2 linked regions of the Caenorhabditis elegans genome follow. The protein of the gene in region 2 purifies or fractionates together with the protein of the main gene of each other region. This does not show direct contact. Each region holds a gene or a part of one and is shown on either strand. Other genes may lie near its edges.

Region 1 (4,197 bases), on a different chromosome or scaffold from region 2:
GCAACAAATGGCTATCAATTTAATACCGGCGAGCAGCCTATCGTTTTTTTCACTACACAAAATAGTCAGAAAATATCAAATTGAGACTAGTGTTGTAAATTGAGATAGAATTTAAAAAAATATATTCAAATTATTTAAATAGATCGTCTAGAAAGCATTATAATTTTGCATTGGTAATTTTTGTTTATATAGAATCACCTCAATCAAGTGAAAATGGGAGTGTTCCATTGTTTTTCTTTACTTACTTAGTGACGCAATTTCATAGATTACGCACGATTGATCGTCAACACAAACCACATTATGTGAAATTACAAAAAGTTGTGCAATACTAGAGTTTACTTTTTTCCGTTATTTTATATTTTTCCCTTGATTTTCAATGCATTGCTATGAACTTTGGTACAGTTTATTAAAATAGTTGTTTTTCTAAATTTATTGAATATTGGACCCCTATAATGTGCAATAAAGTTTTCGGGGAAGTTAACTAAATTTTATCTGAGTTAGATGTGGATTTACAAAACATTATTATTTTTTTTCTATTTCTAAAAACAACGCTATTTGGTCAAATAAGTTTTCTATCTTTTGTGTAACTAATTGATATTTGGATATTTGAGGCGAATTATTTGATTTAGGCTATGTCTAAAGAAAAATAGATATTTAAAATAATACTGCCGGAGTGTTAATAGCTAGAATATTTATTGCGCCTTATTGGAACTTATTAATACAACTATTCGTTTTTGGTTTGTAAATTTACCTGCCATTATTATTTTTTATACATCTGTATATCTTGTAAATATTATTTACAACAAACGGTTTATTTGGCTCAACTTATATAATATTTACATAGAAATTTCATTTACACTTCTATTTTAGATTTGCTTAAAGTTTTTACTGTGCAAGTGCCAACGTTCCAAATCTTCCATTAGCCGTTCAGCTTTTTCTGTGAGAACTTCACGATACTCTTCTGCGTGTTCGTTGTCGGATGAATAAGAAAGTTTCATCTGAAATCAATTAACTTTCTCATATACGTTACAGACAATACCTGTGCAATCGGTCCAAACATGGGCAACATAAAGAGACCAGCAGTAACAAAATATTGACGGTAGGATTCTTTTAACTAAAACTAGAACATTGTTCAAATACCATGAACTACAAAACATTTACTTGCTCCAGTGAATATGGCGTCTCGTTGTCCTGAAGAGCTTCCAAGAAATACTCGTAGAATTGCTCCAAAAGCCTTTCCCAGTGTGCTTGACGATCTGCTCCAGAAAGTGTACAAAGAAGAAGTCTTACCAAATCTTCAGCTGGGTTTCCCATGTGAATGAGCTGCAATATTACAGAGATAAAAAACACAACTTTTTGGGGACTTACCTGGTAATCTATAACTTTGCTTACTAAAAATTTTCCCTCATTCTCTTCCCATAGAATATTCGCTGACCACAGATCTCCGTGCACCAAGACATCACGTTCGATACCTGACATAAAGATCTTATCTCTCAATAGTTTTCACTGATAGGTAAAATATATCCAAATTTGTGAAAGAAAACTCACCAATGTAACTGTTTAGGTTAATAGCTTTATCCAAATCTACGAGCTCAGTTCCATAAATCTCAACTTTGTCGACGCTTTCTTTTAATCGTTCCGGATTGATTTCACGAGTCTGCTTAAAATTATTTTGCATGCCTTCTTCACTGAATATTGTGTTTGACATCTTCTTCAAATCAAATCCAGCAATACTTTGTTTTTCCTGATCAGTCAAATGAAGACTTTCCGCTTGAAGTCTGGCAATCGATTTTAATACCTGTAAATAAATTGAGTTTTACTTGATAATCTGATTTAAAACTTACAGAGTGCAGCTCAAATGGTTTTACATTGTAATAGAGATGTCTTACAGTTACATCATCAACAGCTTCCATGCCCAATATTCCTTTTGTTTGGTTCTCAGAATCAAACTTTTTGTAAAAATAAATCTTTGGACTTAACAACTCATCATTCTTATTCCATTTCTTCGTAATTTTATACAAATTAACTTCTCTGTTATGAAAAAGTCGTGATTCATTCTCAAATAGGGCCATCAAATCAGCTTCATTTGCATCATTTATCACGTTCTGTTCGCTTTCTTTTAGTTTTTCAAGAAGACCAACGACATGGAGACATGATGTGATTTTCAGAATAAATTTCTTCGGGAGATTCTCATCTGTGATAGTCCACTCAGGCTCAACCAAAATCACACGACTCATAAATCCCTGAAATAAACGTCTTGTGAATATTTTAATAGTTTGAACTTACATTTCCATCTCCAACAACAGTATATTTTGTCTTCTCTCCAAGTCTTGCTTCAGTATTCATTTGATCTCTAATCAATTCTTGAACATCTTCCAGCTGAACATGGGTTTGAAATAAACCATCTCCATTTTGGATAAGAGTTTTAGATTCACTCATTCTTCTTAGTCGCAGGAAGAAAGTAAATTTAAGAGACAAGAAGCAGTTGCTTTTTATACCAATGATGAGTTCAGTGTGGTCTCTGCTATCAACGTTATCATACCATTCGGTTCATACGCTGAATTCAAGTCACAAGTTGAAAAAGTATTTCCTAATTGTAAGCATACCACCGCATTCTTTAATTAAATGACATCCCCGATAGTCTTATTGAGCTTTTGTATAATTATTTTTTTAGTAATAAACTACCATTTGACTTTAAAATTTTAACTTTCAATAAACATCTATTTTTTATAATTTTTAAAGGTTTTTTTTTATGTTTTCAAACCGTTCAAGCTCAAGAACGTCGTTTTAATTAGATTTAATTTATGAAACTGTACTTAATGAATATCTCAATTTTTTTTTCAATGTCAGAAGGCCATGTATCACATGAACTTACCACACCTGCACAATAGATAAGGTACACATTTTTTATGCTCAACATTCGGTATTTCTAGATTTATTAAACTGCGAACTGGTGATAACACATCACGTGTAAACTTTGCAAACAAGCGTATTCAAAGAATTAATTTTTGAAATCGTCCTATTTCCACTTTTTGATGATTTCTCTAGTGTACAAGTGCCGATGTTCCATGTCATTTAGAAGACGTTTTGTTTTCTCGGTCAAAATCTCTCGGTATTTTTTAACTTCATCTGGATCTGACATTTCAGCGAGTTTAACCTGGAAACCAAATATTTCTATTTAAAATAATTTGAAATTACCTCAGCAATGGGACCAAACATCGGTAACATGAGAAGACTTCCGGTCACAAAGTACAAACGATATGATTCTTTTAGCTGAAAAAAATAACATCAAATGTAATGTTTCAATATCAGTTAAAATATACCTGCTCAAGAGTATATGGAACATTTTTGTCTTCAAGAGCTTCTATGAAATATTCGTAAAATTGCTCTAGAAGCTTTTCCCAATATTTTTGTCTCTCGGAACCGGAGAGTGTAGAAATGAACAGGCGCACAAGATCTTCGGCTGGATTTCCCAAATGAATCGACTGGAAGATGTTCAACGGTTACAATGTTTTTGATTTTGAGGTTCAGAGTAGTTTTGAAATATTCGCAGTTGAACAAGAGTTTTGGGAATGAGAAAATTGTAGTTTTTGTTAGAATCGACGCCTAGCTACCTATTATTGAGTTATTTATTGTAGATACCTGATAATCAATAATTTTGTCGACACGGAATTCGTCTTTGTTCTCTTTCCACATTATATTAGCTGACCACAAATCACCATGCACCAAAACATTTTTCTTGATTCCTAAAACATTTTTATTCGCCATGATCAACATATTTTCTGCTGACCTAAATAATTGTTCAAGTTCTTCACCAAATCAAAATTAACCAGCTCAACGCCAAACACTGCAATTTTATCTGCAGCTTCAGATAGTTCTTCCTTGTTAATCTGGCGGACTTGTTCAAAAATACTGTTGAGCCCATTCTGGCTAAACATTTTTCCAACAATCTTTTCCAAGTCATATCCAGTAACACTTTCTTGCTCTCTTTTGTTCAACTTAAGACTTTCAGCTTGGAAAACGGCAAGAGATTTTAATATCTAAAAAAGTCCACTAACGAATTGTAAAATAAATGTGCATATATATGTTACCGAATGAAGTTCGTATGATTTTAAGTTTATATACAGATGTCTTGTGATTGCATTATCGACATATTCCATTGCAAAAAATCCTTTCGTCAAATTTTCAGAATCAAAT
Region 2 (3,924 bases):
AGTTGGTTCAATTCTACCAAGTGCCAATTTTTTTTTTGTTTTTTGTGAGTAGTCGGGATTCAAATAGAAATACTCGATTTTATACAAAATATGGGTACGTCTCCCCTAATATAAAGCCTCCTCAAACTTCAATCAATCAAAACTCAGCTTTAACTGATTCATCGGGTGCATCTGTTTTTGGTCAAACCGAACTCAAAAATCAAGAAGACTCCCATTGACCTACTGAAATTTTCACGAACCCTCTAACAGGTTCGAGGCGAAGCCGAGAACCTACGCCCGGTTAGGGGACTCGCCCTACACCCCTACAACTGGCGGGCCCGCAGGGCCCGCTAGTCATGGAAAACAATATCCAAATGTGGCTGCACTGAAACTTGGTATTGAGGATGCTTGGAGAGAAATACCAGCCAGCAAAATAAAGAATCTGGTCAACTCAATGTCGAATAGGTTTTTTGAGGTTATCGTTAAGAAGGGAGGTCCCACGACGTATTGATCCTTCATCCAGTTAACAAATTATGATGTTTTAATTGATTTAATTCCACTTCTGGACAAAGAAGGACAAATAGTGCAATCTGGTACAAGTTTCATACAACCTAAAACTCCGTCGATTTGTAAAAAATCTTTCAAACATGTATCCATGAGTGTCTCAAAACATCTTGGTCAGTTTTGGACTCGATCCCACCGAGAATGGGCCTCTGACGCAAAATGGAGCGTTTCAGGACAATTGCGGGATCCTAAGAATCTCCACGTATAATATTTCTGCCGAGAATTGATCACTATGATATCTGAATCAAATTGACTCCGTTTTGTTATCTTGCTGTGTCTAGAAATGTCAAAAAATGTGGTTTTGTTGGAAAAAATATCAAAATTCAGAAGGGGCGCTATAGAAGTTGCACGGCCGTTTTTACGATTTTTTGACCTAGTCACATCAAATTTTGTTATTTTTTCTTGAAAATTTTGGACAAGGGGTTTTTTGACATTTGAAATCGAATGGCATTGTCAGTTTTTCAAGAAAAAAATCAGAATGGCGTGAAACGCGATAAAATAGGGGGCGCTATAGAAGTTGCACGCACTGTATAGATATGAACGATGGTGTTTTGTATGGAGCTGGTATTGAACTGGAAATTCCGGAATGGTGCTATAGTTCAGATATTGGAAGTTAGTGTGTCTTTTGAGTGTACATTATTTTTTATTCATTTCGTGAAACATTTTCAGAGCATTCGCCATCTGACTCAAAGGATCTGATTGCAAACCTACCAACTATCAAATTTGAGCATGGAAATTCAACATTTGCAAATAATCATCGAAAAATTAGTTTAGGTTGAAACTGTGCGATAAGAATTCCTGTCGTTTTAGTTTCATCTAAAACGAGAGTTTGCTCGCTACATTGTTATCTAACAGTGAGAAATAACTTTATCGATTTCAACTTCAATCGTTTTTTTTTCTATTTTTTCGAGCGCTTTTTGGTGAAATCAAAACTTTCAAGCAGTTTTGGTTGATCTTTTTTCCAAACATTCAAAATCAAAGTCCAAAATCAAATAATTTATGTAAATGAAGAGAAAACAGAGAGAAGGTCACATTTCTGGCAAGCTCCATAAAGTCAAGCTGTTGACAGAGTTTTATGTCAGCCCGCTCGTCCTTAGCAAGAATGTCAAAAAACCAACAATTCCTAATACTTCTCATTTTTAATTAAAGCCACATAATTTTTTGAATTGAACTAGGGCGTGATAAAGTGTAGATCAAAATTTTTCGCAAAATTATATGAATGATCCCGTGAGTTCAGGAGGTTTGCTATTCATCTCAATAGATTTTGAGCAATTTCTTAGAGTATTACTTGAAAGGTGCATTGAAACAGGACTGCCTCATAAATATGACATTTATATCTAAGAATGAGGAAGAAATTGCATATTTAATGGTTTTTCAGTGGTAACTGTCACCATTCTTAACCACACCAATTCAAAACTGAAAATGTCAATGCCAAAATGTGAAATCTGTAATGACGACTATTCAAGCGAAGATGGAGATCACTCTCCGCGAAATCTAAGTGAGTGATTTTTTGCGTGGTCTTTGTAAAGTTAAAATTTCAGAGTGTTCACACACGTTATGTGAAGGTTGCATCAAAAAAATGTTAGGTAATAGCAAAATTGTATGCCCATTTTGTCGCGAGCCAACCGATATGCCGGGAAACAAGATGGAAAGTTTGCACAAGAACTTTGCATTGATTCAAGCGATTCAACTATTCGCAAAAACCACTAAGATAACAGTAAATAAAGATAATAAGTTTTTTCATTGATTCAAGCACATTGGACTTTTTCAGGAAGTAGAGGAGCCAATGTTGGAAAAGTGCAAACATCACCCTGATTACTTGGTGGAAACCGTATGCGTGGTAGGTCACTTTATTAAATTTTTTTTTTTCCACTCACTTGTGGAAATTAAATTTTAAATTGCTTTTCAAAGAACTTTCTCATTGATCCTTACGAGCTTAAAGTGTTAGTTATTTGAAGGAAGAGGATTGTTCCGAATCGGGAAAATACATGTGCCGCAAATGTGTATCGACTCTATCTCATTTGCATCATACGAAAAAATCGTTGATTGCGGAAATGGAAAAATCACGCGAATTGCTTCAGGGGAGGATAAATCGCTTGAATAAGACAATAGGCGAGATTGATCAAGATGTTCGAAAGCTCAGGATGTCACAAATTGCGTTTCGCGAAGGTGGAAATAATTACCAACAAAAAGCAAATGAGGTTAGGTGTTTATGAAAACGCGATTGAAATGTGTATTACATTTTTTCAGATAACTACTTTTTACTCCAGAATTCGTGAAATGGTTAATGAACGTGAAAAGGAGGCACTCGTCAAATTAAAGGAAGTGGCAAAGTCAATTTTGGATGAAAATGATAGTGCATTACCTCCGCTGTTAAGATCTCACCAAAAGTTAACTGAATATGTTCGTAAAGCAACTGAGGCAAAGAAAAGGAACAACGCAATAGCATGTATAACAGCAGCAGAGGATTTGCTAAACAAAACAAAAGATTGTTGTGATGAAGGTAGCTATTATTGCATTTGAAGCTAAGAATAAATTACTAGATTTCAGAATATTATACAATCGAATCACAGGATATTAATGTATGCATCAAACCAATTGATATTCCAGTGGCAACAATAACCCGAAAGTAGTGATAGAGTGGCTTTTTCACCACCCCGAGGATTTTTGACCGCAGACGGTCACGAATAGTGTGTGAATCGAGAGATTCAGAGAAAGACGAGAGAGTGAGAGACTTGGTTATAGTAAGAAACTATCGATTTTTTGGGGTGTTCTTGGTCCTCTCAACCAGGGGACAGTTTTTTAACCAGGATTTTTGTGATTTGATTGTCGATTTTTGAAATAGCGTGCGTTTTCGAGAGATTTAGAGAAAGTCAGACAGAGCTTTTTTCGAAACTATTTTCGAAATTGGGTTTCTGTAATAATTCAAATGATTATTATTAATTTCATAACATTATTTCATAACTTTTTATTTCATAATTTTTGTTTTTCCCCGGACCGGATTCGAACCCAGGACACGATTTACATGAACAGATGGCATCTTTTCCCAAAGCAACAAGAGACGATTTGCATGAATGCAAGTGTTACCTAGATTGATGAATCATAGGAAGGAGGCCCCCCACGCCCCGCCCCTGGGGGTTTCAAGAGTTTAAGTTGAACATTTGAACGTTACTTCAATTAATGTTACCTGTGCTATTTGAAGTTTTCGTTTTCGAAAACTTCAAATAGCAGGTTTCTTCAAACAAGACTTTTTTTTGTAAATATTTATTCAGTTGATTAAATTAATAAGACAACAACAATCAAATTTTATAATTTCCAATATTTTTTACGGCATTTCTTACAAACGTCAATTTTCAAAGTTGATCCATCATATTGTGCACC

Evidence for each region.
Region 1: the proteins of K09F6.7 (region 2) and T16G1.4 fractionate together in Caenorhabditis elegans (co-fractionation; one large-scale study listed by BioGRID). This does not show direct contact.

What each region holds. Positions count from the first base shown.
Region 1 is NC_003283.11:12,939,346-12,943,542, forward strand, and holds T16G1.4 (CHK kinase-like domain-containing protein), read right to left. Parts: upstream 2,503-4,197; 5' UTR 2,440-2,502; coding exon 2,287-2,439; intron 2,244-2,286; coding exon 1,845-2,243; intron 1,799-1,844; coding exon 1,549-1,798; intron 1,473-1,548; coding exon 1,369-1,472; intron 1,324-1,368; coding exon 1,162-1,323; intron 1,115-1,161; coding exon 1,040-1,114; intron 999-1,039; coding exon 867-998; 3' UTR 796-866; downstream 1-795. Other genes in the region: T16G1.3 (CHK kinase-like domain-containing protein), read right to left, coding at 3,020-3,157, 3,199-3,273, 3,324-3,485, 3,643-3,746, 3,791-4,040, 4,092-4,197.
Region 2 is NC_003280.10:2,290,169-2,294,092, reverse strand, and holds K09F6.7 (RING-type domain-containing protein), read left to right. Parts: upstream 1-1,965; coding exon 1,966-2,041; intron 2,042-2,084; coding exon 2,085-2,260; intron 2,261-2,314; coding exon 2,315-2,383; intron 2,384-2,501; coding exon 2,502-2,744; intron 2,745-2,793; coding exon 2,794-3,046; intron 3,047-3,093; coding exon 3,094-3,176; downstream 3,177-3,924. Other genes in the region: K09F6.13 (Nuclear receptor domain-containing protein), read right to left, coding at 3,850-3,924.